4 linked regions of the Drosophila melanogaster genome follow. The protein of the gene in region 4 purifies or fractionates together with the protein of the main gene of each other region. This does not show direct contact. Each region holds a gene or a part of one and is shown on either strand. Other genes may lie near its edges. The genes, in order: p115, Tbc1d8-9, Rep and Rab30.

Region 1 (7,716 bases), on a different chromosome or scaffold from region 4:
ATGTTGATCACAATAACCATTTTTGTTAAATAAACGCGATAAATGGTATAGAATGTGGTGTGTTGTGTTCAATTATATTGATCGATTGAGCGAGTGTAAGCTTTAGGATATATATACTAAAGTATCGGGTGTAAATGTTTTCATATTGCATGTGATTTTGGTTATGAGCTAGCCAGCGGCATTTTTTGGTAAGGAAACCATGGAAAACAAACAAACAGTATCTTGGAATTCCAACATAAGCCATTATATGGGCAAATCGGAATCGGAAAGAGATGGAAACAGGAAATCGTGAGCGGATATATGTAGCTATCTATTGCGATTTGCTGCAGTCCCCGCTAAAGCAATAATGGTCCCATGTGTAGATTTCTATGTTCCGTATGGAAACCCTTTTAAGCATCTGTAATAAGCTAAGCAACCTGGGTATCTTCTGTCATGAGGTTGCTTGTCTTCTTCTGTCATTAGCCAAGCAACCTGGATCAGTCTTGTGATAATATATCTAGAGAACATACCTTAAATATGAAATCGTCTGTGTATTCTTATGTGCATATTCGTGGTGAGTTCTTCCATTCTGAGCAATACAAAGCGAATATTTCCAGTTGCTAAAAGCTAATAATTAACTATATGTGATTGGAGTACGCTCCAAAGTTGAGCATCCAATTGGTATAATAAATTTCCTTAAGTATTTGCAAACACATCCATCCATGGACTCCTCTCAAGAAACTACTTAAAAAAACAATCATCTTTTCCAACAGGCCGTTTGCGTCTCCTGAAGAAGATACACTCGTGCTTCCATCCACGCTGCAATAAAGTGCGCAAGTGCAAGACTGTGCGTAAATACACCGTGGAAGCCAACGTATCCGCGCTGACTTTGGTCGTTCTCAAGAAGAATCCCTCCCCATGTCGCCTGGGACCCGTGCGTTCCAGCAACATCAGCAAGATCTACTATTTGTGCGAGGAAGATGATGAGGTCATCCCTGTTAAGCTGCAGCGCAGGCACCAGAAGAAGCGCCAGAATGCAACCAAGGAGGCTATCGCCGAATACGTCAAACTGTTGGTCAAGCGCAAGAAGGAGTCCAAGGCCAACCGCGGCCGTTATGTCACCATTCGCAAGCCGAAAAGCTCTGTCTTCAGCGGCAAGAAGTAAATACCGCAGACTCTGAACCCACATTCTTCGTTTAAGCAGAAACTGAATGTTGATCACAATAACCATTTTTGTTAAATAAACGCGATAAATGGTATAGAATGTGGTGTGTTGTGTTCAATTATGTATATTGAGCGATTGAGCTAATTAAGCTTTAGGATATCTATTCTAATGTATCGGGTGCCAGCGGAAACGCTGAAAAATATTTTTGATTTTTAATTAATTATTTCAATCTATTTTTCCCCCAGGTAAATGCAACAGTTCCGACAAATAGTTCAATTAAAGTAAGGCCATTTATTATTTTCTGAGAAAGGAAGGTCGAAAAACTGTTTAAATGGTTTTTTTTTTACAACATTACGATTTACCCAATCATAGGTATATTAATATTGTTAAACAAATAAACGCAGAACAAACACTATCTTCGAATTCCAACATAAGCCATTATATGGGCAAATCGGAATCGGAAAGAGATGGAAACAGGAAATCGTGAGCCGATATATGTAGCTATCTCTTGCGATTTGCTGCAGTTCCCGCCAAAACAATAATGGATTCGTTTAAATTCTGATCTAGACATATATTCTATACGTAAGTTAAATAAATGTAAAACAAGTAGAATGTGTGTATATAAGATATTTTAACGTTTTTAGGGCAGTCGAGCAATTTCCAGTTGTAACATGTACGTGGCTAGCAACTCATCCGCGTTACGATTTCTACCTGCTGGCGGTGCCACTTGGGATGGGGCTTCCTCCGCCAGCTGCCGGCACGCTTGGAGCTACATTGGAAGTCGGAAGGGTATTAGTCGAGCCCGCTTCTTCGTATCGCGTTAGCTTTGCCTCCTGATCGGCCAGCAGTTCGAGCAAATCTTCTTGATCCTTTTGCATCGCCGCCAGGGAATCTTGCGCCGCATCTGCACTCTGTTTTTCGGCTGATAACTGCTGACGTAGTGTCTCCAGCTCCTTAGTTAGACGAATGTTTTCGGCAAAGTACATGTTGGCCTGGTAGCGAGCGGCATTTAGCTCCTCCTCGTTGGGCGGCGTGGCTTCCGCACCTTGGGCGGACTGCACCTGACCGGTCGAGGCTCCCAGCTGTGCCTTAAGCAGCGTGTTCTGGTCCAAGAGCTGCGCCTTGAGCGACTGCTCCTCACCAAGTTTCTCCTTCAGCTCGGCATTCTCCTGTTCCAGTTCTTTGGAGGATTGCTGCAGTGCTTGGATCTGGGCATCCATGCCGCGGATAATCCCCTTGTACTGGGAAACCAATGCAGAAGCTTCCGAGCTCAACGTGAGTTCGGTCAGTTCAATGCCATCTACATCAAATCCGCTAACCAGCTTGGCAATCAACGCCTCCAGTCCCTTGTACAGCTTGCAATACTCGAAGTCAAGCAGTAGTTCCCCAGCGGATTTGGCACGGATCTGGGCCTGCTTGCATGCCCGACTGTAGGCCTCATGTCGCGACACTTCTGCTAGTTTGCTACAGAAGCTCTCCTGGCCAATTCGCTTGATGATCAGCTGACTGATGTCCTCGCGCTTCTGCCCCGGCAGCGAGTTGTCATTGAACTGGATGCACAGGCCCATTAGGAATGCGCACATGCCCTGGACAAGGAACTCTCGTTCATCGTGCTCGTTGGAGCAAAGTTGAGCGGTCAGGTAGGCCATGGTGCCCTGCGTTTCCAGCAAAGCCTTCACCGCACCTGGACAATGCGCCAGCCACAGGCTGAGTAGCATTAGCAGACCCACCTTGCTTTGCAAACGGTAGCGTTCCTGCTGCATGAGATTAGTGCACTGCTCGAGTAGCGTGATAGGCTTTTGGCCACCAGGAGTGGCCAGCAGTACGCGCAGTAGTTCCTCCTTTAGGGCGACATTCTCTACGAGTGAGTGCATTAGGGCCACAGCGGAGAACCAGTTGGCAAGCGCATCTGTGGAGAAGAGTCCGGTGCAAAGGAGTTGTCCCGTCGAAAGGGCACTCACATCGGACGCACTGGAGGGCAGCAGGGTCTGTACAACCGCCCGCTGGCCATCGGCATTGCGATAAAGAAAGCACTCGAAACAGTAGAGTACGGCGCAACGCAGTGCCAGCAGTTGTTTCTCATTGATCATGGACATAAGAAGGACCACGATGGCAGGTCTGGGTGGACTGCTCGGAGCCATAACTCTTCCCAATTCATCCTGGTTGTCCCGATCGCCGCGCACCACTTCGGCCACTGCATTGATGGTTTCCGTGAGTATATCCGCAGGGACACCACTGCTCATCAGAATCTCGCAAAGAGCATGGAGCAGTCGAGACTTTTGCATGACCCGCTGGCAGGCGGCCACCACCTGCTGTTGATTACTGGGCGTGACCAGTGCCCGCACCACCTGCAGCAGACAATGGAAGTTTGAGACCTTCTGTGGCGACCAGCCAACCTCTTCCGCATCCTGTGAGAGCTCAAACATTGGCGACAATCGCTGGATATAGCTGCCCTCCTTAAAGAACTGCTGATTACTGGAGTTGTTCTTGAGAAGATTCAATAGCAGAATTAGGCAATCCTCCACAACAATTCCGCCATCCGAACAGCCCTCCTCACGGACAATTTCAAAAAGGCGGTCAAAGGCATTCTCAAAGGCCACAATCTTTTGGATGTTTGAGTTGCCCTTGGTCAGTTCGATAAGCAGCAGAAGGACATCGTTGCGAATCACTTCGCGGCTGTCCGTCAGCAGATCCATCAGCTTGGAAACGCCCATCGGACTGACCAGAATCAAATCCTGCAGCTCCCGCGTCTTGTTCGAAATGAGGGACGTAATCAGTTGGATGGCAGCGCGACGCACTCGAAAATCGTATTCGTCCAGATAGCCCATTACCAGGGTTACATGCTCCGGTGTCTTGATGAACATCTCCGTGAACTGCTCGCCCACATTCACCGAAACGGTGGGATTATCAGCCTCCTCGTCGAACTCCTCGCTAGTAACCACGTTGCACAGTGTGTCCAGCGCATAGCTGATGATCTCTGCATCCTGTCCGTCGTTCTGGAGCACCTGGACCAGCGGAGGCATGCCCTGTGCGCCCACCTCGATGCGGTACTTGCGGGACAGGGCTTTTAGCGCTCGGCAGGCATCCCGTCGATCCTCCAGGAGCGTTGAGGAGTAGACACGGTCCACCAGCTTCTCCACCGTCTCGGCGGCACTCGGCTGCTGACCCGGCTCCGTGCTGCCCAGCACCGTTTTGATGCCACTCTTCAGGAACTCCATGCGAGTGTGTGTTTACGGTCTATTCTGGGTTTTTTCGCATTCAACAAGACACGTCAATTCATGAAAACAATTGACGGGCGGCTTAGCGATGGCTAAAGTCCGATAGACGCCCACTTATCGATAAGCGGCTTGTCTTTAAATATATTAAATATATTTTTAGAATTACAATTTACCATATTTGACCATGTTTGTGTAATTACCTATATTTACACTTTTTTGATAATCTAAAACTTTTTTTTGAATTACATAAAATATTGCTACTTTCTAGCTGACGTCGGGACTTAAGCTGAGTGGCATCCCTGTCGGCGATAGTCTTACTGCCAAAATTTTATTAAACTAAAAACGACTCGACAGCCCTGGTGCTATCGATGCTATAAGTAAGTTGAAAACAAAACTAATTTAGCAAATTTGTGTTTAAAACTAAACGAGAGAATCCCAAAAAATACAATATAAAGCGTTCCACACACGCGGCGTAAGAAGTTCTCAAAAATATCAACACAGTTATCACGACGCTGGGAGAAATCACTCGTTTTTATTACGTAATGCGGCAAAATGTCAACCCATAACATAACAATCCCCACATCAATTTGTGTAAATCATATGTAAATCTCGCCATCTCCTGTGCTTGTCTTGCAGACCTATGGGCAGTGGGATTGTGGTTCAATTGGCTCGAAAGTACGGCGCAGTGATATTCTTTCCCACTGTTGCAGTCGGATCGATTTACGCAGATTGGTCGCACACCCGCCAGTGGAAACGCCAGCAGCTCCAGTTGGCACACCGAGCCCAGCTGAAGGATCAGCGCTAAGAGGATACACAAATATACACCATGGTCTTGGGACTGGATAAGCGAGCACTGTGGGGCGCGTTGCCCCTGCTGGGATTTGCCATTGGCCACTTCCTGGACAAGAAGGAAACGGAACGTATGACCATGTTCCGGGACAAGAGTGCCCTATACGGCCGTCCCGCCGGCAGCGAGGGTAAGGCGCCATCCTGGTAGGCCTGCCCAACATCGCCATCCCAAAATATTATTTTTTTTCCCCCAATTCACTGTTATTCAATAAACCGGAGAAATGTGAAATACGCCTGTCGTCTAGTTTACCTGCATGGCCAGCGGACGAGATTTGCGGTCGGGAACGTGATTTATTTGTGAAGGATTGCGTACCATTGTTTGTTTTACTCAGGAAAAACATAAAAACCTCAACACACGTCTAACGATAAGCCGAAAACCAATGAAAAATCCAAGGAGATAACTCGTTTTTCGAAGGATTTTACCTGGGCATCGCTGCACGATATGCGAGTTCTGCTTAGTTCGGATCAGGGGCGTAGGCTGGATATTTTAGAAGAGCATTGGTGTATTCTACCAAAACTCTTATTATTTATTGTAGAACTTCTTGAGCATGTCACATAAATCACTTGAAATGTGGTAACCGAGAGTAGTCTTTTTAAATGAGTTTCGTTAAATGGCATTGAATTATCTAATACATGTGAATCGAGATTTTTAAGAATTAATAGAAAAAAAAAACTTTTATAAGCATGAGCCCCCTAAAAACTTTCATTTGCACGACCATGCCTATATGTACTATGTAACTGCTTCCAGTAAAAACCGTTAGACAGAATGGATAATCGCTCACTTCAAATATGAAATATGAAATCCGATAAGGACATTTCCACTTTAACAAACAAGGCAGCAAATTGAAATGCCAATGGAACAAAACTAATTTATTTTTATGGCTCAGGGCTAGGGGTTTGTACTCGGTTTTGGATTCCGGTTTAAGATCGGTTTTGGGCTCGAGTTCCAAAATTGAGCGTGATGAATCGCTGGAATTGTGTTCTTGGGCGTGCTGCCCCTCTCTAGACCATTGTTTCCAATGGTCAGTAGTTTGTACACAGGCGCAGTGGGATCAAATGGAACGGATTTTCCAGATTTTCGCCTTTCAAGGGCTTTCTCTCTCTCACAGCGGGGGAGAGCGTGAGCGAGAGGGTGAGATGCCAGAGATTTGCAAGTGGATACCGTTGAACTGTGGTTGGGAGCGAGAGGGTAATAGCACGATCTTTGTTCCTGGAAGGAAACGAGAGATCCAGACGTGCAACAATAACATAACAGTGCTGGTGTCTCTCGGCGGGAAAATAGCCAAATTGGGCATTAGCATGCAGGTGCGAAAGGGTTTTATGGAGAGGTTATTTATATGAAGGTCAGGTTGAAATGACTGCTATCAATTTTAATCGGTAGTTGTCTTGTATATTGGTTTTTAAATAGTTTTGTATTTTAATCCATATTACAATTTCTTAATTTAATGATGAAATAGCTATTTGTTTATGTATGTAATTATATCATTAGATTGCATATTTGCAAAATGTATTTTGTAAAAATTACAAATCTAGCTTGTTTTTAGAATATTCATTCTTCCGCCCTATTTAGCGGGGTAGCGGCACTACTTAAACCTCTCTCTCGCGCACTTGTTGTTGCTCTCTCTCCCGTTCTTGCAGGTAGCAATGAGAATTCCAGAAATCCTGCATCCCAAAAACCAGTCTCAAATCGTGTTTGGGTTTTGTAGCAAGCGGATCATTTGTAATCGGCGGCGGAATACCCAAAATACCCAAAGAGTAAAAAAAAGACTTAAGGCAAAATGAGCGGAGAGGAATCTGCCGGCATGGACTTTTCGCAAAAGACCCTGCAGGATTACGAGGTTTTGGCCGTGATGGGGAATGGATCCTTCGGCACCTGCTACAAGGTGCGCGACAAAAGCACCGGTGAATTGTTCGCCTGGAAGGGAATGAACTACGATGAACTGGACGAGGCCAAGTGCGACGCTTTGGTTTCGGAAATCAGTGTTCTGCGGCAGCTCCAGCATCCTAACATTGTGCAATACTACCATCATCTGGTGAACCGAGAGGCCAAGTCGGTGTACATTGTTATGGAGTGCTGTGCCGGCGGCGATCTCGCCCAGATTGTCCAGCGAGCGAGATCCCAGAGGCAGCGGTTTGAGGAGCCCTACATCTGGCGGGTGCTCTTCCAACTTTGCCGGGCGCTTCAGGTGTGCCACAACAAAATCCCCAACGGAACCATCTTGCATCGCGATATCAAGCCAGCAAATATTTTCCTGGATGCGGCCGGGAATGCCAAACTGGGAGATTTCGGTCTGGCCAGAATGCTGCGACGAGATCAGAGCTTTGCCGCCTCCTTTGTGGGCACTCCGCACTACATGAGTCCGGAGTTGGTGAAGGGCAGGAAATACGATCGGAAGAGCGATGTCTGGGCCGTTGGTTGTTTGGTATACGAGATGTGTGCCCTAAGACCGCCGTTTCGCGGCAGAGCCTTTGACCAGTTGTCCGAGAAGATCGCCCAGGGTGAGT
Region 2 (10,293 bases), on a different chromosome or scaffold from region 4:
GCATCTATCAGTTCCAGAACTTCGACCGCACCAAGCGTAGGATTCTTAATGAAGCCAAGGAGTTCGAGGGCGTTCTGGTAGGGATTTTCCAAAAATTCGGTTTTATAAGATTATAATGTTTTTGCTTTCAGCCTGGTTTATACGTCACTCTTTATGTGATAAATGTTCCTGAGAGCCGCTGGAATGCCTTCAAGTCCGCCCAGCTTATGGACAACATTATTGTATATGGAATGCTACCCCATGAGCACCAGATGTGCGTAATGAACGTGGTACTGCAGCGAATGCCCGACTCGGAGGTGCCGCTGAAGTCTAAAGAACAATTGATAATCCAGTGCGGCTATCGTCGCTTTGTTGTGAATCCCATTTACAGTCAGCACACCAATGGGGATAAGCATAAGGTAATATTTGGACTAATTTGTAATTGACTATTTATTAATGGATTATGTTTATCCAGTTCGAACGCTACTTCCGTCCGTACGAAACAGTTTGCGCCACGTTTTACGCACCGATTCAGTTCCCTCCGGCACCCGTGCTGGCCTTCAAGGTGAATCCCGACTCCACCCTGGCGCTGGTTGCCCGTGGACGCCTGCTGTCCTGCAATCCAGATCGTATTGTTCTCAAGCGCGTTGTTCTCAGCGGTCATCCCATGCGTATCAATCGCAAGTCGGCTTCTATTCGCTACATGTTCTTCTACAAGGAGGATGTGGAGTACTTCAAGCCTGTGAAACTAAGAACCAAGTGCGGACGGCTGGGACACATTAAGGAGTCACTGGGCACGCACGGCCACATGAAGTGCTACTTTGATGGGCAGTTGCGATCCTACGACACTGCTTTCATGTACCTGTACAAGAGAGTCTTCCCCAAATGGACCTACGAAGAGTGTCTGGTGCGAACGGCGGAGCACGAGCGACAACATGCGTCGGCAAACAGGAGGAGCTCGCAGCAAGTGGCCATGGAAGAGTAGAGGTGTGTGCAAATGGATGGATAAATAAGTGATCGATGGACAGTGCGAATAACTTCTGAAATGAGTTTATATTATTGTTGTTACATTTAAACCTCTAAAAGTATGAAACCTACGAAGTGTCCATTCGGGAAATGTCACCCGAAAAGTACATAAAATATGTACACAAAAATCCCGCATCGATAATTTTTTATATGTGACTGCGTTGTATAATAGGAATAATAGAATTATATTCACAAACAATTGTCTTAACTTAATGGTAGAGGCAATACAATATACATACATATAACATGGATACGTTTAAAAGCTTGTCGCATTGCACAAGGATAAAGAATCGGTCAGGTTCTCATAGAATATGGCTAATACAGTTTTGTGGGGGGACAGGACATAGGGCAGGGATGGGACTATGATTATTCAGTAATTGGTGGACAGACACTTGCGACGCTTCTTTTGCAATTGCTCGATCTGTTCGCTTATTTGGATTGGTGTTTGGAAACCTCTTACAATGCTGTTGACAGTCAGAACCGTGGCGATAAACTGGGTAATAGATATGTGCCAGGATTCGGAGATGTTAGTGCTGCTGCTGTCCCCACTGCTTGTTGTTGTGGTCCTGGACTTTCCGCTCGCCTGACGAAGCTCCTCTTCTAGAGCCACAAATAGACGGGTAGTGCCAATGGGTTCTGGTGCAGGAGTGGTGGGATTGCCATTGCTATCCGGTTGCTGAAAGAAAAATTTAGTTTTGTTTTGATTGTTGGGAATCTTTGAAAAGACAAAGCAAGTCATACCTCATCGCCACCCATATTTAGCTGGGTAAAGCTCTCCAGGCTGGGCTCCTTTTTAATATTGCTGTTTCCAAGCTCCAAGAGATTCTCATCTAAAAAATGAACAATAGTTTTGAATGGTACTTTCACGTTTTAAAGGCTATACTTACAAGCCCTTTGCATCTCTTCATCCTGGACCAGACCCATGATCTCTATGATACTGCGCCACAACAGCTGAAAATTCTCCTTACGCATGTGGGGAATGCTGTGTTGCGAATTTGAAGCGCCTTCGTCCGGCTGGTCCAGCAGATAGCCAAGACTGCCCAAGCTTCGCAAGTCCGTGGCATTCGAGTCAACACGTTCTAGACGTGTGGCCGCAACAAGGTCGCTGATCTGTGAGAAATTCGATATAGTCTCGACATTGAGAAGCATGTGATCAGCGGCCGCAGACGAGGCTGCTCCGGCTACCACATCAGCTCCCACTCCCGCTTCGGGCGGCGTAATGCGTGCCGCTCCCAGATCTGAAATATCCGAAAATGTGTCAATCGATTCGTAACGGCCCTGCTGGCGAAGCTGTCGCTGGAGTTCGTCTTCGTCCCGCCCAGCATCTGTGGATGTGGCAGTACCCTGGAATCCCGGCAGGTCCACATAGAAGGTTGAGCTGCGATGCGCCAACGAGGAGGTGTTAGAGTTCACCGACAGATTGGGAGTGCGTGACAGGTCCATAAATGTGTTTCCCGAGATTCCGGCCAGGTTGTGCAGATGCTGGGTGGCACTAATCAGGGCAAAGTCATCGGCATCAAAATTGTGATCCGAGGGCGAGGGCAACGCTTCCATCGACTCGGAGGCGTCATTACTAAATAAGAAATGCATGGTTTTAGTTCGTTATAGTTTGGGCCTCAGAAAACACTCACTCAAAGAAATCCTCCGCCTCGAAAGCCTCCTCGGCATCATCTTTTGTGCGTGGGCGCGGGCGACGTGATCGTTCAATCTCCGCTTTGGACAATAGGGGCGGAAGATGTAAAACGTAGAGGAGTTTCAGCTTCTCCATGTTCTTGTTGGAACAGACCAGGCCCAATGCATTGATGAGCTGTCCGAAGTCGAGAACACCAGTTCCCTTCTTATCAGTAAGCTGGAAAACGAAAACAGAGACATATAGATTCATGCCAATTCTTATTCCAAGATCATTAACATACCCTAAACAATTTTTCGCCAATGTCCACGCTGACGCACTTACGCCAGGGTGTCAGTTCCGTAAAAAGTGTGTGGAATACCTCATAGCTGACACTGTAAGCCTCGTATCTGCCTCCGGAGGCGCCGGCATCTTGGATCGGTCTGCTTGTCGACTGAGGGACCAGCTGGGGAGTCTCAGACAACGGGCATTGAACCTTCTGCTGCTGCTGTTGCAGGGATTTAAGGGCGTGCTTTTCCTCCCGGATGATAGTGAGCAGCATATGCAGTTCACTGCGGTTGAAATACGGATTCTGGACGTAAGCCTTGACAATGGTCTTCTCGTTGTCGATATCGAACTGTCGCATCGTTAACCGGCGATGCTTGTTGCGTAACTCCTCGATGCGCTGCTGTGTGATATCCTCACCGAACTTTGTGTATGCCTCATGGATCAGGGTCTGAACTGTTTGTGTTTGGACTTTACGCTCCATCTTCCGTTTGTCCGTCGTAGGAGGCACCTGGTACTCTGGATTGTAGACTCCCTCCAGGTAGTTCTGCAAAACTAGCATGGCTTCGCCATCATCTTGGCAGATCAACAGTTTGTCCCTGTTCCATTCAATGATCTGCAGTGAAATCATAAAAATGATCTTGGCGCCCTCGTAGAAGAAGCAGTCCAGGATGTGCAGCGAGCTCTCGTAGCTGATCACGCTCATGAAGATGGTAAGGAACCAGGAAATGGAAATCATCTTAATCACACCCAACTGCTCCAGATGGCCGTGCAAATCAGGCAAATGCGTCTCCACTAGCTCATTAAGCACACCCTGATCGATTTGGGCGCCCACCACTTTATCCTTGTAGTAGTCCGGTAGTAAGTTCTCGCACAGGCTGGCCAGCATCCAGAATGCGTTCTCCTCATCACAGAAGAGCAGGAACACCGACGACACAATATTCATGGCCTGACAGTAGCCCACTTGTGGATTCCGCAGCGCATAGGCCTGAAGGACTCTCCGCAGAGCACCTATGCCATCGGTGCTTTGAAATGCCGGATGCTCGGGCAGCGAACGCGGCAAGTCCCGATCAATTTCATCGTGGGCAAAGCAGTTCTTTATGCAAGCCGCCTTCTCTACGAGATCCTCGTACAGTCCGGGATTCATCTCCTTGTCGTGGATTGCCCCCGAGAATATCAGCCAGATCTCCTGGCGCAGTTTGTCAGGAATACCCTCCACTATTAGATTTATCACGTCCGTTGTGCGGAACATTCCAATGCCCCGTCCGAAGTCCCGGAAATGCGCCTCCCAGCGCACCATCTTTTCCTCCTGCTTCTGTATGATCTCTGCGCTGAACTGTGTCTTGAATGTGTTCATCAGAGCGGTCTGCTTGCTCCACGAAATGTCGTACTTAGCGCGTTCGCGACTCAAAGGACTGCGTTAAATAATATGGTTAGGATCAATATATACATGTAAGTATAGCAACATAGATTTTTAATCTAACACTTACACATGAACTCGAGCCAGAAGGTCTGTGATCTTGGAGATCAACACAGCTCTGTCCACGATATGAGCAAACATGAAAGGCACATTCTCCGATGTTATAATTACAATTTGGTTTTCGAAACGTTGCTGGCCATCATCCTTCTTTTCAACGCTCTAGAGTGCAAACAATAATTAAAACTTATCGAAATCGAGTACATTTATGGTCTGCGAACCTTTATGGTCTTCATGGGTATAACCACGCTGACCAAATCCTTTACATCGCTACGAAAACAAAAGAAATTCGGCGATAAGTAGATAAAGCCCGAATTAAATCGTTTTGAGTAAGGTGTCCAGATATTGGCCTTAATCTTTCCGTCAATTATTTCCGATTGTGGCAATCGAAAGTAAATACGAAACTCCTCGGACTTTTGGCGAGCTGTCAAATCCCGCAGTAGAACTGGTTTCTTGGACGTTTTGGAACCCAACCGTGAGAAATTAGAAGTATCGTGGTCGACCACAGGACTATCTGGATCATGGATTAGCTGCTGTATGGCCATTTTGTTGAGCTGCTCAATCAATAAGTGTGCATCGCTGGCGTTGAAGAGCATTGTAAAGTTGTAGGTCATGTTATTGGTGGTTTTTAGATAGATGGTATTCGCATTTCGGCTGATGTCTTCCAGCTCTGCGAAGCGTATAATACGCTTGATCTCTTGACCCAGCATGTAGGAGTAAAAGCAGACGTGGTTTAGCGAAATGTATAGCTGACCCTGCCTTGGTATCTTGTTTTTTACATAACTGGAATTCAATATTCAGTAAATATGGACCTTTAATGTATACTGAACATATGCTTACGTGGCCGAATAAGAGATAACTAATCGCTCTTCCTCGGGCATTTTGAAAATCTGTCTAAACTTTGATTTCATAACCTTGAAATCGGCCGATTCGCCAGTGTCATCTTGATTGTTTTGCGTGTACAAAGATTGGATCTTGCATATGGTAAAGTTGGTCACCTCGTCCTCGTTCTCCATCTCGTCCAGCACTTTAAAGAGATTAGCTTTCAGCCATTCCCAATCCTTAACAATCTCATCCTGGGTAATGCCAATGGCGATTTCTGTAGGGAATAGATTCTTGTTAATCTTTTTTATATTTTTATCTATAGAACACGACTTAAAAACCATATCAGCACAATATGGATATGGAATTAATTATTCTACAGGCACAGTAAGATACCAAAAATTAGTTTAAACATTTTTTACTAAACTTTAGGATAACACGCATTTCAGCGCCTTGCGCATGTTGAGATGAAAATGCCTGGTTTTCAAGTACCCTACTCCGTCAGTTGCCTTCTTTTCTTAATATAATATAAATTGAATAACAAAAGGAACGATCCAGCCTCCGCAGCTTTTGTAATCAGCTCCGTTCCATGTTTACGTAAGCGCCGAGGGAACCGTAGATGAAAGAAATATTGGCATACTCCCATAAATGCGAGTCAAAGCCCGATGATTCACGGTCACCGATTGCTGGACATACGAAATAGACCCGAGGTACTGGAACTGATAGAGCGGATGAGTCTGAGATATTGGACCTACCGTAAGACACCTCCGACGAGGGCGTCTGGTGGAGGATGCGATAGGGTGCCGGTTTGGTGTTCATCACGCTGTCGTAGGTGCCCACCAACATGGAACCGAATCCGCGTGATTCCCCATGGCCACGTCTCTTCTGCAGGACAAAGTATCTCGAGTGCATCTCGGCAATCCTGTGGGCGAAAATTATGGTGTTCACCTTTAGAGTCGGCTTATCAAGGGGGGAGGGCCCCACTTAACGGGGGCTATTTTCTAGAGGGCGGTGTCTGCACTTTTCTACGCAGCAGGAAACAGTTGGAAATCAATTTTCAAGCTGACTTTACACAGCTGGCACTTTTTGCGTTTCGAAATCAGAACCAGCGATCTGAAGAGTTGGAGTCTTGAACTTTTGGCTCAATTAGTTATCAACAAATGCATTTCAACTAGCTAGCTGCAAGTACGACGTTTGTGCCTAATCCAAATACGTGATCGGCGGCTCCCCATTCCGCCTGCACTTCGCGATAATCGCATTCCATGAGATGTCTTCCATAAACATAACATTGCATATACACATGCCGTCCATTCCAATTCACCCACACACCCATGCAGCCGTGTTTAATTTGGATTTTCGGCAATCCTTCGATTCGGCTGCGGACTTGGGCTATAACTCACCAAAATGCCGAGGGAAGCAGCAGCTCCTTGGGCTGAATCCACATTTTGATTGTTCTTAGCCCGTGCCAGGCTCTAAATACAAAATTACTCTTTGTTTAATTCTGCATCGAGCGCTGATTGCTGTTTTTGTGGCAAGTGTGCCCGTTGGCTGGAAAGCACAAAACGCACAAAGAACTAAGCAATCTATTGTGAATGGGTGCACTCTGCGTCCGATTTTTGAATCAAATAGTTAACGTTTAGTTAAACCTAAGAATATGAATCTGTATCTTAACTTCAATTAAGCGAAATATGTTCTCTCCAATTTAAAAACTTGTTGGCTTTTAGAAGCCGAATAGAGAAACAGAAAATGTTCATTATTAACAGTTTAATATTACGCAAAGTTACCATATAAATTACATAGTTAGCCTTTAGCTTTAAATCGAAACTGAAACCTCTCATTTATATAACAAGTTCAAAGCCCAACGAACGTGTCGTGCTACAAAATTACTAGTTTTATTCTCAACTCCTGCAAAATCGTCAGTGTTTTGCAAAAATGTTGAAAAAATTCGTGGAAGTGAACGCCGAGTGCAGTCCCTCTAACAATCCCTATGAGATTCGTACCTTTCTGGGCAACGAAACGTCGCCGGAATGGAAGGCGGAGAACTGTCCGCCCCGCGATCGCGTCTGTCAGAAAAAGCCACCCAACTCCACGATCTCCCAAGTGCTAACCATCGAGGATGAGCTGCGTCGCATCCACCACAAGGCGGAGGAATCCCGCTTCACAAAGCCCTATAAAAAGAAATGTGACCTCTACGACGATTTAACCATGTGCATCGTGCCACAACGAACTCCAGCGGAGCTAAAGACCCATGCCGAGATGCGAGAGCGAATTCTGGCCGCGCGCAAGGACTTTGGACTCGTCGAGCACGACGCCAGGGTCGATAGGCCATGTCCCAAAGATCTCGTCGTCCTCAACAGTCCCATGGACATGGGCGAGGAGGAACAACAGGCGGAGGAGGGCGAGGAAGAGGAGGAGGGCGAGGTCAAGCCACAACTAGCCACTCCAGAATGCAGTTCTGATATGATAATTATTCCGGACAAACGCATGGTATGTTTAGATATAGCTTATAAACTTGGTATAGACAATATTTCTCGATTCGTATAAACTACGTATCCCAAATTACCACCATTTCCAAATTATCTGCGGATTATTAAATTTTAACATGATCATAATAAGCAATTCTGGTTTATTAACCTTTTAATCAATCAAATCGAATTTGATTTAAACTAAATTATGAAGTAGATCTCTTATTGTTGTTGTTTTAAGAATTAATCTTAATAAAAGTCGAAGGCCTTAAGTACTTTTTTGGTGAAATGAACTCATTTAAGTTCATAACAAAACGATTTGTTGATTATAAATAACAGTCGACTACGCTGAGGCATAAGTTTAGACTAGCTTTAACCTTTTGATAAATTGATGTTTTTACTCGATCAATTCGATGTCATCGATATCGGCGTAAATACTTCCCGGTGGCAGTTCCGAAAGAGCGATTTCTCCTGGATCGTCTTGCCCATCTCCATCGGTAGTCGCCAGCGACAGGTTATGATAAGCTCCAGAAACAGCCTGTTGCTGCATGTGCACTCCCAGCTGGGAGATAAGTTCCAATGCCTGTACATCCGAGTTCATCAGAGCGAACTGGTGGATAATGGCTAGATGCGGAAAAACCCCATTCAGAAGAGTACTGGTTCCAGCGTTAATCTGATCATCCGGGTTTTCCTGGTCGCCATGTGCCTGCAGAGGTATTTCCCCCTCTGCAGCATCTGGTGTGCTGGATGGTGAGGACATCATGGTGGGCTCACATGTTACCAGCTCCACTTCATTATCCCCCTCTGGATGATCGGACATGATACTGTTTTCGCTGGAGAGATTGACAAAATCTGCCATAACAGCTGCTTTTGAGATTGCTTCGCCTGGATTATCCAGCTCCCGTTGCATGAAGTTCGGCAGTGCATGCTTAAACTCCACAATGATGTCTTCGACAGGCAGGTCCTGGTTCAAGGGATTTTCGCCCTGGTAGCCCAATTCATCGGCCTCGTACTTGTACTTGTTGCGGAATCGGCTTAGCCATCGATAGGATGGTCTGAAGGATGGCAGGTTCAACACAGCTGCCATCCGGATGGCGGTTTCCTTCAGTTTTTGGTTCCTTATGCTGATGTTCAACTGCATTTGGATGCACCTTTCCACCCACTCGTGTAGTAGGAAGCTGATGGCACTCATTTCGAACTTGCGGCGCTTGCGCGTCATCTCTTCGATTATAATGGAGGCATCTGCCTCGCTTAAGGTGGCCAACTGCTGCAGCAGATCCTTTTTCTTATCCAAGATTCTACGTATTTGGGTGGCGCAGCAGTGGAACATCTTGGCCAGACTGTTCCTAGAGATGTTGGTCTCGTCATAGTAACGGATTACGGCAATCTTTTCGTAGAATGTCAGGATGTTACGCTCATTGCGACGGGATTTGATCTAAAATATAGAGAGGGAAGAGTATAAGATTAACCTAAGATTAGTATTAAATATATTTTAAGCAATTTAATAAATTATTAGATATCTGCAACTATTAGGGTACAAGCCACATTTGTTGACCACCTCTTATATCCTGTCGAAAATTTCCATGCAGAAGTGTTACTGGGCGGATAAGTAATTTTTTCTCTCAGTGTCGTATATATATATATACGTATATTTCTTTTCCAATAAGCTCTATAGAATTTGTACATTTTTATAGATAATATTATTGTTGTATATGAACATAGTGCGAATTTGGCATTACAATGAAAACAGAGGCCTATACGAACTGCAACACTAAGCTAGCCTTAAGGGATTAACGGCCTCCGTTTCGATCATGCAAAGGGTGTGCATGTAAAGGACCTTGGTTGCAAGCCACGCAGCTCAAGGGTAAATGAATGTACGATATGTGTGCGGTATACATGTACATATGTATGCATATGCTTGTGTACACGTGTTTAGTGTAACTGCCGCGTGTCCACTCGAGACACGTTATAAAATCCACCCTCAGCGGGTCGCTTAAGGGCCAAGTTAACAGACATATCTGGTCCCTTGTCCCTTTGCGACTACTTACCCCTTTGGTGTTGTTGTTGTTGTTGCGCCGCAACGTTGTTGTTGGCAGGGCGGCAATAGCAGCCATTTCAATAGTTGTGTTAAGTCAATTGCAACTAGGTTTCTGCTCTTTCCGTTCTCCTTCTTTTCCTTCTCCACTTCTTCTTTTCCGATAACTGCGCAGCAGCTTCTTGCGCTCTTACGGCTGTAGTCGTTCCGCTCTCGCGCCACTTAGATCATGCGTCAGAGGGAGATAGAGATGTGTTCGTGCGAGACTCCTTTTTGAAGCTGTTACAGAGAAAACGTAATAAAACAGAAATAAAAGCAATATTAATACTGTTGATGCAAATGGCTAAGCGTTTGTTAGTCACTTTTTACGAAAGTTGGCACGGCACGTTCTCAAATTCGCTTTGCCTCTGTATTAGCTTTTGTTGTTGCGCCTCTGACATTTTTACAATTACTGAGTAATAACACACTTGTGTGCCCTGTTTCTGTTTCTTGGTTCCGCTCTTCGTTTCTCTGCGCCTGTGTGTGTGTGCGTTCAGTGCGCGCTCCGTATGAAATAAAAACGGTTCACTATGCTCAATCCCTTTTGCATGGTGTT
Region 3 (6,611 bases), on a different chromosome or scaffold from region 4:
GGCTATGCTAAGTTGGCCGATTTCGGAGTCGCTGGTCAGCTCACGGACACAATGGCCAAGAGAAACACTGTGATCGGAACGCCCTTCTGGATGGCCCCCGAGGTGATTGAGGAGATTGGCTACGACTGTGTGGCAGACATATGGTCATTGGGCATCACCGCCTTGGAAATGGCCGAGGGAAAGCCCCCATACGGTGAGATCCATCCCATGCGAGCCATCTTTATGATTCCGCAGAAGCCACCACCATCGTTCCGGGAACCGGATCGCTGGAGCACAGAGTTCATTGACTTCGTGAGCAAGTGCCTGGTAAAGGAGCCAGACGACCGGGCAACGGCCACTGAACTGCTGGAGCACGAGTTCATACGCAACGCCAAGCACCGATCGATCCTAAAGCCTATGCTTGAGGAGACCTGTGCCATTCGCGAGCAGCAACGCGCCAATCGCAGTTTTGGGGGCGTGTTGGCTGCTAGTCAGGCGAAGAGCTTGGCAACCCAGGAAAACGGAATGCAACAACACATCACGGACAACGCGTTTATGGAGGATCCAGGTACTCTGGTGCCGGAGAAGTTCGGTGAATACCAACAGAGCTCAGCCTCAGATGCCACCATGATAGCGCATGCAGAGCAAGGTGTGGATGAGGGCACTTTGGGGCCGGGTGGACTAAGGAACCTGTCCAAGGCAGCTGCTCCTGCAGCGGCCTCTTCGGCAGCATCTCCTCTGGACATGCCGGCAGTTGACAGCGGCACAATGGTGGAGCTGGAGTCGAACTTGGGTATGTAAATGATTTTGAAAGGGCTGGCCATTTGTTATTGTATTGTCTGTTATTCAGGCACTATGGTAATCAACTCCGATTCGGACGACTCCACAACGGCCAAAAACAACGACGACCAGAAGCCGCGAAACCGCTACAGGCCGCAGTTCCTGGAGCACTTCGATCGCAAAAATGCGGGAGATGGCCGTGGCGATGAAAAACCCATAGCCACAGAGTATTCTCCGGCAGCAGCGGAGCAGCAACAACAACAACAACAGCAGCAGCAACAACAACAGCAGGATGAACAGCATCTGGCAAGCGGGGCCAACGATTTGAACAACTGGGAGCACAACATGGAAATGCAGTTCCAGCAGATCTCCGCCATTAATCAGTATGGTCTGCAGCAGCACCAGCAGCAGCAGCAAGTTCTGATGGCTTATCCCCTGATGAACGAACAACTCATCGCGCTCAACAATCAACCGAATCTGCTGCTCAGCAACGCTGCGCCAATGGGACAGCAGGGAATACCGGCAGCGGCTCCAGCTCAACCGCCGCCCGCATATCAGAATCAGCATATGCATACGCAATCGCACGCCTATGTTGAGGGTGAGTTTGAGTTCCTCAAGTTCCTTACCTTCGACGATCTGAACCAGCGGCTGTGCAACATCGATCACGAAATGGAGCTGGAGATCGAACAGCTAAACAAGAAATACAATGCCAAGCGGCAGCCAATTGTTGACGCCATGAATGCAAAGCGCAAACGCCAGCAGAACATCAATAATAATCTGATTAAGATATAGGTAAAGCAACTCACAATTTCGCAAGACAACTGATTATGAAATCTCAACTCACTCAATTGCCTCTACATTGGGTTAAGTTTGCAGATGAATACTGAATCTTACAGACCCATCATCTGTATCCTCTAGAAATTATTCGTGCATTGTGCAAATTTAACCTGGTGGAAGGGTCTAAAATCAATCACAAGAAATGAAAACACAAAAGCTTTATTGTAAAATGCAGTGAAAACAGAAAAGAGGAGTCATCGGCAGTATCTTCCAGCACGAAAGCATATTTTCTGTTAGATTTCATCAAATTTATGCTTGGTTTCTTATATCCTAGCTTTCATTGATCTGTCTTTTAATATAAATAGGTATGCTCGAATAAAATTTATCTTGCGTTTATTGTAGCTGCCCGTATTGTGAACTGCCCAGGCCTTATCATAATTTAATAAGACTTATAATATTCGTTCTTCCTTGGTAACTATTAACCTTTATCTCTAAAACACTTATTTTCTGTCTTCGTGCGATAAAAACAGTAACCCGTCAAGCAATACTTATAAAGGAGAAACATTTTTATACGCATTGGAATGCATATTTTTCGAACATATATTTATCAAAGCAAAATGCACAGAAACACTCACATTTAAACATTTATATATACCTAGTACTTTTAGCAATTATAAATAATTTACATAATAAATATATAGGAATATATGAATCAAAAAATTGCATACAATATATAACTTATTCGAAAGATACTTAAGAAAATTTTGTAATAAGTAATGATATATGTAGACCAAGGAAACCTCCTTTTTATTTTAGTATGACTACTCTTGTATATCCATTTCCTGAGTTGCCTGCTGCATGTCGTGCAATTGTGCCCGCAAATCTTCGGGCAAAGTGTGCTCGTTCAAGGCACTAGGGTCTTCACCATCCACGACAATCTCCTCTGGATCTGGGGCTCGTGGCAAAAAGTCGGCATCTGGGAACATTTTGCCAAATATGTCGCGAGCATTGGCAATGGCCGCGTCATAATCCAGCTCGTAGGTAGGTGGATCGGTGTAGTAAATATGCTCGGCAGCGGGACTTTTACTAGACTGGGCAGCAATTGTGAAGTATGAGCTAAATATTATTTGTGCGTCTGATTGATCGAAGAGTTGGCTAGTGAAAATGGCTAGATCAGACGCTGGATCCTCGCTCAACGCTGGCGTGGTCAGATGGAAGATATCTGTAAAAATTAATTCATTAAAAAGGAATAATTCACATATTTTCTTAAGTTTCTTACATAAACCCTCGGGACAGGCTCCCGTGTAGTGCGACAGTTGTATTAGGAAGGCTTCCCGTCCACCTTCATTGTCAAGTAGTCGAAGAAGATTTACACCACCACCTCCCTTGTTCAGCTCCTCATTGCCCAGGGGACTGGACGATATGAACAAGCCACGTGAGATGTGCGGCTTCAACTCGATGCCCTTTGAAACTGGTGTATAGCCAGGGGCAGAGACCACATTCTTGGCACGCAAAGTTTTCCCTGCGCTGCTCAGCAGGAACTCATTCGAATTGGAATCTAAGGCAATGTCGTCAACGGCTCGCTTTAGGCAGTAAATGCCACCATAAACAGCGCACAAACGGCAGAAGCACTGCGGCAATTCCCCGCAGCCATACATGGGAAAGAGAAAGGGTGTGTTGCCATAGCGGCCCAGACTGCCCAGAAATCGTTGTGTGCGCTGCATACCCTCCTCGAAGCTGGTGCTGGGGCCGCACATGGCAATGGCCTGCATCACGCACGACGATATCTTTTCGGTCACCCGCTGCGCCTGCAAATATTCCAGAAACGTTCGTCCCCGGAATTCCAACGAGTCCTCGTTGCACTTGTCCTCGCCGTAATCGTTGCAGGCGGTGAGAAATTTCATCAGCAAGCGCTTTTCCACGATGGTCAGTGTTTTGGTGTTGAAGACATCGCTACGGGAGCAGGGCACGGACACAATTTCACCATTGTGGCGCATGCACACATGGTCCACGGCTCGGAATTCAGCATAGCGGCAGATGTTCGACTTGATGAGCAACTGCACCAGCTCCCCGGCTGCGTATAAAATGCGCGGGCATAGATCCAAGCTGAAGCGTCGCGACTTGGCCAGCACTGAGTCCCTATTCCAGGATTGTGCATCTGTTTCTGATTCTTTTTCCATGGAATGCCAGGTGTACCTTGCGTTTCGCAATGCAGAATGAGGCTCGACTTCCTGGTCCAAGCGGGCACATAGAGCATCCATAGAGAAGGAGCTCCAAACATCCCCGTAGTACTCATTACTATCCAGGTGGAGCACCGATTTGCCTATCCTGCTGCCCGCAGCGGCGATGCAGGACTCGGTGAAGCCTGAAAAGGGCGTCCCTCGAATGACTCATCTGTGGTTCTTTTCAAATCTTCTTAATTACCTGTGCCTATGACGACCAGGTCAAACTGCTCCGGCAGGTCATCCAACATGTTCTAAGCCTTATTTGCACTGATATTTAAACTATATTTACGGATAAATAAAGTATTCCGTGAATTTATTGCGAATTTACTTAAGCAGCTGTTTACAGATGCGCAGCTAGCGATGACGTCATCAACAAACAGCTGTTCATAGTATTGGCTAACGAAACAAAACGTTATAAAGTTGTTTGAAATTTGAAATATAATTAAACTTTTGTAATTATTCCATACGGAGTTTAGCATTGCATTACAACTCTTTAAGCATTTAAATGTATTAAAAATTGTCTAATTCAATAGTTATCGCAGGCGTATTACAAAAATACTGAATTTCCCAATGCCCAAATCAACAGGTGCAATAAAAATGCACACATACAGGTGGGGGGAATTGTGCTTGTAGTTGTAGTCGCCGCTACCATGGAAACGGAAAATTCGTAAACAAAAGCCGGAAAATTAAAAATTGCAGAATGTACACTAACGCAGCAGAAACGTAAAGCCAATAATGTCCTTTGAAAAGATCCTTTACAAATATGAGGAACCGCACGGGATCGGAGATGTGTACTTCATTTGGCAGAAGGCTTTGCTGGCCACAACTGGTACCGATGGATCGGTGGCCCTGTACAATCGACAGGGCCAACTGGTGCAGCGCATCATACTTTCTGGGTGAGCTATGCTCAATCTCTACGTAATAATGAATAATGACCAGTAATGGAATCTCTTCTCCAGGCTGTGCTCAGGATTCGCCTGGGACCAAGAGGGTGACCTGCTGGGCATCATTACCAGTGGCTCCCCAAACATAACGTTGTGGGACTATAACAGCCAGGAAAAGATCAGTGTGGAGACGGGCCTTCGAGATCCCCTCACGTGCATTCTCTGGTCCAAGCAGCAACAACTACTGGCCGTCGGCACAGGACGCGGTAATCTGGCCATTTATAATCATAGCAGTGGAAAGCGACCCACACCGGTTCTGGGCAAGCACAGCAAACGAATCACTTGCGGCGCCTGGTCCGCCCAGAATCTGTTGGCTCTCGGTTCGGAGGACAAGAGCTTCTCGTTGAGCAACGAGGATGGCGACACAGTGCGCGTAGTCCAGCTAAGAGATGCGCCCACCGACATGTACTTCGCCGAAATGGCCAATGACGAACGTATTGCGGGGGACAATGCCATCAGCATGATCATCGGCAAGCGTACTCTGTTTCTCTACTATTTGCCCGAGCCCGAGAATCCTACGGAGCTGGGCTTCCAGAGCCGATACGGATCGCTGATGCAGCACAAGTGGTTTGGCGATGGGTATATCCTGCTGGGCTTTTCCAACGGACATGTAGTGGCCATCTCTACGCATCCCAAGGACGTCGGACAGGAGCTCTGGCAGGTGAAGAACCACAAGGACAGCTTGACCGGATTGGCATACTGCCCGACGTTAGATATAGTTGCCTCCTGCGGGGATGACAGGTAAGTACTTATATTCTTATCTATAAAACCTGTTAGGAAACATTCGTATGTTAATATTCACATTTTTTAAGCAGCATTAAGATTCATTCAATAACGAATCTCCAGGAGACTGAACGCATTATTACCGTGCCAGATCATGCCGGTGTTCAGATGATCGATTGGTCGCCCGATGGTCAACTATTGGCGGTTACAACAAACCATGGTACTGTGTACATCTATGTGACCAAGCTGCCTCATCTCTTCGCCGTCTCTGCACCTCGGATTGTGCTGTTGAGCAGTCTCGCCGAGGTGTCCATCTATGTTTACGCACCGGACAAGACAAAGTCGCTGCCTTTCCGCTTGCCTCTGGAGGGTGAGCCTACCTTCATGGCCGTGGGGCCATACAACTTTGCTACAGGAATTGAAAAGCACGTATGGTTTTATGATCTCGGGAAGAGTTTGGGCGAGGAGCCTCGTCCACTAAGCGAACGCGATTTTCCGCGCAGCGTGGAGAGCATGAAACTGAATGCGGACTACTGTGCCGCTTTGTGTCCACCACAACTAATCCTTCAGGCCATTGCCGCCGACAATCCAAACTGCAAGGACAAGCTGCAGGCGGTTTTTCCAACAGCTCTGCCCAATATGCCCAGTGATGCGGTGATCACGTGCTTTGCACTTAGCCAGGAGCTTCTGATTTTTGCAACAGATGTGTGTAGTTGGAAAAGTTGGTTTGTTCTTTGCATAATAATTTATAATATTATTCCAGATTGGTCACCTGGTGTTCTATTCCCTGGAAAAATGGGACAGCTGCACAATCTACAGACACAGTATGGGCATCCGGCAGCTCTTCATGGACATCGAAGGCACCAAGGTTATTTTTATAGATGATCATTCCCAGGGTTATGTTTTCCTACCTGTTGTCGAGGAGGCCCTCCTCATTCCGGACATTCCCAAGCAGTGCCTTGGCTGTCTTTGGGATCTCACGCAGCCGAATATCTTCATCAGCTACGATGCTAGAATCGTCAATACGCACGTCTTTGTGCGGCATTCTGTACAAGGGACACACACCCTGATGGTGGGTGAGTCCAAACTGAATCCGGGTCAATTTCCTCTGCTGCTCTGCGGCGGAGAAATGGCTTTGCATATAGATGGTGGCCAGTATGCCACACAGTCACTCAGTACCCAC
Region 4 (6,898 bases):
GATCACCAAGCGATAGCGTTCATCAGGAAGCCAGCGATCTTCAAGCACGTGCATTTCGTTCAGAAGCTGACGGAATTTCTCGGCGTGTTTACGTAAATAGTTAAAATTCAGCAATGGAGGAGGTCGAAATCAGCACAGAAAAGAAATCCAATCCCGTAAAGTCATTTATTGCGGGCGGCGTGGGAGGCATGTGCAATGTGCTCGTTGGCCATCCATTGGACACAATAAAGGTGAGCTTCAAAACTGTGTTTACAAATGGAAACGATGTAATGCTTTAAGTTCCACTTTAGGTCCGTCTCCAAACCATGCCCACACCTCCACCTGGACAGCCGCCGAGATACAAGGGAGTCATAGATTGTGCCGCCAGGACATTTCGTTATGAGGGTTTTCGCGGATTCTACAGAGGAATATCCGCTCCACTTGTGGGAGTAACACCCATCTATGCCGTGGACTTTGCCGTCTATGCGGCGGGTAAACGATTGTTCCAAACGGATGACCACATTAGGCTCACCTACCCACAAATCTTCGCCGCGGGAGCCTTGGCCGGAGTTTGTTCTGCCCTCGTCACAGTGCCCACCGATCGTATAAAAGTCCTTCTGCAGACGCAAACCGTGTCCAACGGACCTCTGCTCTACAATGGAACCATTGACACGGCCGCCAAGCTATATAGGCAGGGTGGCATTCGGAGCCTCTTCAAGGGAACATGCGCGTGCATTCTGAGAGGTCAGTTGTTAATTAATTGCTTAATATTATAGTATATATAATAGTTATGGATAATTTTAAAATTTACAGACTCGCCCACCGGTTTTTACTTTGTGACCTACGAATTCCTACAGGAATTGGCTAGAAAGAAGTCCGCCAATGGAAAGATTAGCACCACATCAACTATTCTGTCCGGCGGAACGGCGGGCATTGTGTTTTGGACTTTGGCCGTGCCGTTCGATGTACTTAAAAGCCGTCTCCAGTCGGGTGAGTCATCCAATCGCCAATCGCTTTAGTTACAATGATTTATAAATGCCATATTTTTAGCACCTGAGGGAACATACAAGCACGGCATTCGCAGCGTTTTTAGAAACCTCATGGCCACAGAAGGCCCAAAAGCTCTATTTCGCGGTATCCTGCCAATTCTACTTCGTGCCTTTCCCTCCACCGCAGCAGTTTTCTTCGGCGTGGAGCTAACCAATGATTTGCTGAAGGCTTAAATTTAAGAATTTGTATTTCAGAGAGGCTGTTTAGAATATTAAATATTGTTTACATATGCGGTTGAGTTTGCTTTATTTGGATTTCTGATATTCTATAAACAAAATGTTTGAAATATTAGCTATGCGCAGTAACCGAGGGATATTAATGGATTTTTAAATATAACGCCAATAATTGGTATCCGATTTTAAAAGTTAAATATATTTTACTTTACATGCTAAAGTATCTTTACGGTTTAGCTTGGCTTACATTTAAAATATACTTTACTTTACATGCAAAAGTATCTTTACGTTTAAGCTTAGTTTCGATTCATTCCAATTGGATGTGCAATCGAAAGCTTTTAAGCGGAACGAACAGATCGACAATATTAGAATTGGAAGTGCAGCGAGATAAGTACTACTGCTTTTAATCAGAAAACTACTTGCGGAGAAAGTTGGACGCTGGCGGGTCGCGCGTTTACTCCTATTTCGTTCAATTCGAATCGATACCTTTAAAAACACACCGGCTTCTGTGCGAAAAACATTTTGGTGTTTCCTTGAATATAATACGTTTCCTGAAAGAGACGTTGAAAAAAAACACTTGGAAAAACGGCGATAGTTTTTCAAAACTATTATACGCCCTGTATTTGAATGATCTGCCCGAGGAATTGGAGGGCGGAATCGACATCGATGGCCGCCGTGTGAATGTCCTAATGTACGCTGATAGGATCGCAATACTTTCCGAAAGTATTGATGATCTTCAGGATATGATCAACCAGCTGGAAAAATACTGCACCAAATGGGACATAGTGGTGGACATGGACAGGTCGTGTATAATGGTCTTCAGGAGAGGTGGACGGCTTGCATTGACTGAGAAATGGTTTATAACGGGAAAGGAGATCAAAACCACAAGCACTGCAGAATTTCTCGATTTTTTGCTCACAACTACACTCAACACTCCAGAGATACTCCACATAATAGATTGGAAAAATTGGATGATTAGAGAAGATTGATGAATCTATACTTGCTGCAAATGTGGGGATACGAAAAAGTAATGCAATTCAAAGCTCTGCAAGCGTTTTATTTAAAAAAAAAAAACCACTTGTTTCGAGTGTCCCAACCCTAATAATCTGATAAGAGATGCATTTGCAGTATATTAAAAAACTTTATTTTCCCACAATGAAAATTCGATCGGCCGATTTTTAACTCTTAAAGTAATGAAGAAAAACATTCTGTGGGCTAAAGCACTTAATAATATTTGCAGTACCTATAACTTAAGGTGGAAGAGCTATTTGAACTCAGAATCGGAGTGGAACGATTTTTGCACGAAATTATTAAGGTGGTTAGTTAGATCCTGAAATCGATGGGATTTTTTTTTTTTATATGCATTATTGTACAAAATACTGTTTTAAAAACATTTGTAATTATTTATCGGCTAAAAGTTTACATTCCAATTATTGTGATATTTATATAATAACAAGATATATATTGCAGCTTTTTTAATCAACAACTTTTTCCGCATTCGTAAAAAGTTGATATACTTAATCAACATATTTTATATTTTACTCAGCTGTAAATTAATCAGCTGTAAATTAATTAAACACTCTTTTCCATTTTACTTGTATTTAGTTTATTTTTTATTCAGCTTTCTGGTCTATTCATAGTTTCTAATTCTTAATTTTTGGAATGTCATAAAATCACCTTAAACACTATTACGAATATCATTTAAAAATTGCATTACCAAAGATTGCACATTAATCGTAAAAATATGTAAAAATAATTGCAAATAAATATGCATAAATTGTGTATGTATACAAAAAATGTAATGTATAAAACATGCAATACTCCTTGGGAATTAATTGAAATAAACTAAATGGTGAGTCTAGCATTTTTGATATCATAAATTCTTCGTAGCATTGGCTGTGATGCTCACTTGGTAAACGATCCATAATCAGATCAATACATACGTCTATATAATACAAATCAAGAAAATCAGGCGGTCTTAAACACCTCCAATGGAGTTCTTGTAACACAAATATTTAGCATCCTTAGTCATTGACAGCTAGTTTCCCATAGGATCTTAATCGTGATAAATAGTAAATTAGTTTTTACAATCAATTTCTTTCTGTAAACCAAAGGGGATACAGAAATAATCAATTTTTTTAGTCTTGTAATTAAAATAATAAACCCTTAAGCATGAACAGAATATCACGATAACAGATAACAGATTAGCTGCACAGTTTCCAGATCCGTTTGCACATTGTACTTTAAATGTTTGTTGTTATCGTAGTTTAGTGAAAGCGAAGAGAATTGCTCTAAATACCTTTACATTTAAAGGTATTTGAAGCCGATGTGTTTTAACAATCTAATAGGAATCGTTACAAAGACAAAGGCAAACGATCACGTCATAATCATGCTTATAAAAACAAAATTTAACATATGTATGTATGTGTTAGAATGTGGGAGCATTGTGGTAATAAAAGATAAATGGAATATCACGATTAGTCCTTAACAAGTTACAGATTAGCTGCTCAGCTTCCAGTTCAGTTTGCAGCTGCTCAGCCGCCTTGACTAGAGTTGGAGCCGCCGCTGGCGAGTCCGCCACAGCAATTGCTCTGCGCTGCCTTGGCACTGAAGCTCCCCAGTCCGATGGAGCTGCCCTCCGACTGACGCTGGGCGGCTGCCGCTGCGGCCGAACTACTGCCATCCTTGCTCCTTGCCTGACCAATCAATTCGGCGGCAATCTCGTAGAACAGACGCTCTACATTCTCTGCCTCCTTGGCGGATGTCTCCAAGAAGTACATGTCATGCTGCTTGGCGAACTCTTCGCCAATCTGGGTGGGTATCTCTCGATCATCCCTGTCCGTCTTGTTACCCACCAGGATTTTGAGTACCTTGGAGTTGGCATACTCCTGGATCTCGCGCAGCCAGTCCGGCAGGCAGTCAAATGTGGGCTGGCAGCTGATGTCGTACACCAGGATCAAGGCGTGAGCCGATCGATAGTAGCTTTGCGTGATGGATCGGAACCGCTCCTGGCCGGCGGTGTCCCAGATTTGTAGCTTGATCTTCTCGCCCTCCACCTCCACGGTCTTAATCATGAAATCCACACCAATGGTGGCACCCTGGCCAGGTGGAAATAGACCCTGAGTAAAGCGGCGCACTAGGCATGTTTTTCCAACACCAGCATTGCCCACCAGGACGATTTTGAACAGGAACTTGTAGTCCTCCATTGGGGATGTTGCCAAAAATGGGTTGGTTTTGGGGTTTTTGAGTCGCTGGGTGTGGGCAAGTGTGTGTGTGCTCTGCGAAAGTAGACGAAAGTTAGTCGGAGCTTAGACACACCTAGTCAGCGACGCGTAACGATTATACTTTGCTGGCTGGTGGTGGTTCGTTGGATCAGCTTACGCCATCCCCAGCGAAGACAACGCCTCTCACCTGTGGCTCACCTGGGGCTCTATCACTAGCTGGCCAACGGCTGTTCGCCTTGTTTTTTGGCTTATTTGGCTAAAAGATGATGACTCAACAGCAGCTGTAGATGCTTGTTACTCGCTTATCTATGCGAATCGGCCCCAAATCTATTCAGCAGGCTTTCGGCCAGGTTGACTATGCTTGCAAATTTGTAATCAACTGGTTGCATGCTGCCGCATTAATTGCCAGCCTTAATTTTGCTTATGTTTACCAACAGAATTTTACTGTATTTCGACGTGATGGTATTTGATTAGAGATGTGACATCAATTCCCATAGCAATACTTAACGATGTTTTTCTCGGTATCGATAGATCGACGTTTTGCAAAGCACTTAAAAACTTTTTGAAGTACGGTCACTAGTTATCGATTGTTCATCATCGATAAGTTCTGTGACAACCCTGAAGCCGAAAACAAGCAGCCACGCTAGAGAAGAAAATCTGGTTGAAAATTGGCAAAAATTCTAATTAAAAAATCGCAAAAGCCAAAAGAGAAGTTCGTAAGTCGTCCTACGAATTCCGCTGTGCGTCCCCACCACATTTTGATTTCTCCAAACGTGCCAGACACCGAGCAGGGGACTTTTTTCACGGAGCACCCCGAATTGCAGCGAAGTAATTTTCGAATATGGCCGAGGACTTTGATGTGGAGGCGATGCTCGAGGCGCCGTACATGAAAAACGTAAGTTCCCAAAGGCCGGATAACAGCCAACTATCGTTTAAATTAAGTCCCACTGGCTTTTGTGCCCACCCAAGGCAATTATTTTGCTGTGCAAAAACAAAATGAAAAAAAATAGAAAAACAGTTACTTCATATGTATGTTTGTATACTTCTTTTCCCACATAGACACCCACAGGCGTACGTGCATTTTGTGTTTGTATGTAAGTCGTCTTCGTCTCGGGCACACACACACACACACACACATGTGCAGTCGATGCATACTAAGTGGTCTTAAATCGATTTTTAGCCTAATTTTGCTGTTTAATAAAAAATCGGCAGCCGGAACGCCAATCTGCGTGCTGATTTTCGTAATATTTTTTTTTCACACTAGACTGCGTTCATACAGAAAAGTGTTTCGCCAACGGAAAATCTGTCTGTGTGTGGGTTTGTGTTGTTTATTTTCCTACGCGGCATTTGATACAGTCGTGTACTGCAGTGGGTGTACAGTGGGGTGCAAAATATTTGGCAGGGCTGCAATAGCAACTGAAAACGTTTAACAAGTATCAGGGAAACTTAAAGGATTGAATTACTAACAAGACAGTCATGATTCTGTAAACTATAAAAAACAACGTATTTTAGTGATATTTTATATCTCTTACTAAACTTGGACTTTAATCTGTATTATTGACTGAAACGGATTTTGTAGCAATTGGTATTCCTCTTATCTTATCTGGGCAAACCATCTGTAATAATATTTATTAATAGGTTAAAACTCAGCCATATGAAATCATACTTGAAAAATCTCAATATATTATAAAATAATTTGTAGGTTAGCAAACCACATTTTTCCGTAGCATTTACAAATGCAATTTTCGGTGTGTTGTGGAATAAATCTAATAAAATTATCATTAATTAACCCAAAACCAAAATCAGCATTATTGTCCGACAGCTCGCCAAGGTTTTAGTCAATGTAGTAGTCTATGACATCCAGCTAAAGTTGGAAATTAATTGAATTGAATTCTTTCGCCCCAAACCAACAACTCATGAGTTCAACGCTCCTATTTCTTCCTATCTGCTGTCTCACTAAGAACTACCGACAACTACCCACACACAATCACCATTAAAAAATACAAAAAAAAAAAAAAAAAAAAAAACCAAACAAAAATGCTAGAATAATTCTTAAGGGTGAAATGTCTTTGCAGAGAATCGAATAAGCTCAATATTGTTGCTAGAGATTGTTTTGGTCATTCTAAACACAAAAAGCTGGAGACCATTTGGTAAGTTTTGAATGTGCCAGAAGCTGCGAAAAAAAACCAATTACAAAATTACAAAACAATAAAAAAAAAAAACCAAAACATATCTAGGCATTTTGTATAAAATATGATTTGTTTATGTTTGCGTTTTTTTTTTATGAACACAATCCAATTGAAATCGTTACCTTACTGCTCTATGTAAACCAATGAAACTGAACGTGCACTAAATTTCAGATATACTCCTCCTAACTTGTCTGGGGCAGCAGGCAGCACTACTACTACTCTCACTCACAGTCAGACAAGAATGAAAGTATCGCTCAAATTACAAATTACAGATTTACGATAA

Evidence for each region.
Region 1: the proteins of Rab30 (region 4) and p115 purify together in Drosophila melanogaster (affinity purification with mass spectrometry, with the first as the bait; 2 studies listed by BioGRID). This does not show direct contact.
Region 2: the proteins of Rab30 (region 4) and Tbc1d8-9 purify together in Drosophila melanogaster (affinity purification with mass spectrometry, with the first as the bait; 2 studies listed by BioGRID). This does not show direct contact.
Region 3: the proteins of Rab30 (region 4) and Rep purify together in Drosophila melanogaster (affinity purification with mass spectrometry, with the first as the bait; 2 studies listed by BioGRID). This does not show direct contact.

The regions. Positions count from the first base shown.
Region 1 is NC_004354.4:7,890,773-7,898,488, reverse strand, and holds p115 (p115), read right to left. Parts: upstream 4,459-7,716; 5' UTR 4,363-4,458; coding exon 1,852-4,362; 3' UTR 1,498-1,851; downstream 1-1,497. Other genes in the region: CG45089 (uncharacterized protein), read left to right, coding at 5,003-5,167; ND-MNLL (NADH dehydrogenase (ubiquinone) MNLL subunit), read left to right, coding at 5,189-5,359; Nek2, read left to right, coding at 6,990-7,716. UniProt on the Drosophila melanogaster protein: Essential for maintaining the architecture of the Golgi stacks and for normal organization of the transitional endoplasmic reticulum (tER). Required for both the formation of the Golgi stacks and the maintenance of the individual cisternae.
Region 2 is NT_037436.4:21,336,978-21,347,270, forward strand, and holds Tbc1d8-9 (TBC1 domain family member 8/9), read right to left. Parts: upstream 6,740-10,293; 5' UTR 6,643-6,739; coding exon 6,599-6,642; intron 6,121-6,598; coding exon 5,954-6,120; intron 5,476-5,953; coding exon 5,217-5,475; intron 5,160-5,216; coding exon 4,598-5,159; intron 4,539-4,597; coding exon 4,390-4,538; intron 4,315-4,389; coding exon 2,919-4,314; intron 2,855-2,918; coding exon 2,637-2,854; intron 2,579-2,636; coding exon 1,893-2,578; intron 1,836-1,892; coding exon 1,747-1,835; intron 1,682-1,746; coding exon 1,376-1,681; 3' UTR 1,173-1,375; downstream 1-1,172. Other genes in the region: Tsr1 ribosome assembly factor, read left to right, coding at 1-77, 132-398, 455-964; CG32436 (uncharacterized protein), read left to right, coding at 7,131-7,685; ebd2 (earthbound 2), read right to left, coding at 8,061-9,098, 9,712-9,777.
Region 3 is NT_033778.4:19,489,622-19,496,232, reverse strand, and holds Rep (Rab escort protein), read right to left. Parts: upstream 4,147-6,611; 5' UTR 4,010-4,146; coding exon 3,961-4,009; intron 3,902-3,960; coding exon 2,816-3,901; intron 2,759-2,815; coding exon 2,358-2,758; 3' UTR 2,108-2,357; downstream 1-2,107. Other genes in the region: hpo (hippo), read left to right, coding at 1-772, 830-1,551; Oseg6 (outer segment 6), read left to right, coding at 4,497-4,657, 4,721-5,446, 5,521-6,133, 6,192-6,611. UniProt on the Drosophila melanogaster protein: Binds unprenylated Rab proteins, presents it to the catalytic component B, and remains bound to it after the geranylgeranyl transfer reaction. The component A is thought to be regenerated by transferring its prenylated Rab to a protein acceptor.
Region 4 is NT_033779.5:7,027,698-7,034,595, forward strand, and holds Rab30 (Rab30), read right to left. Parts: upstream 4,910-6,898; 5' UTR 4,540-4,909; intron 4,481-4,539; 5' UTR 4,409-4,480; coding exon 3,737-4,408; 3' UTR 2,796-3,736; downstream 1-2,795. Other genes in the region: MME1 (mitochondrial magnesium exporter 1), read left to right, coding at 114-230, 291-723, 793-969, 1,030-1,202; caper, read left to right, coding at 5,268-5,321.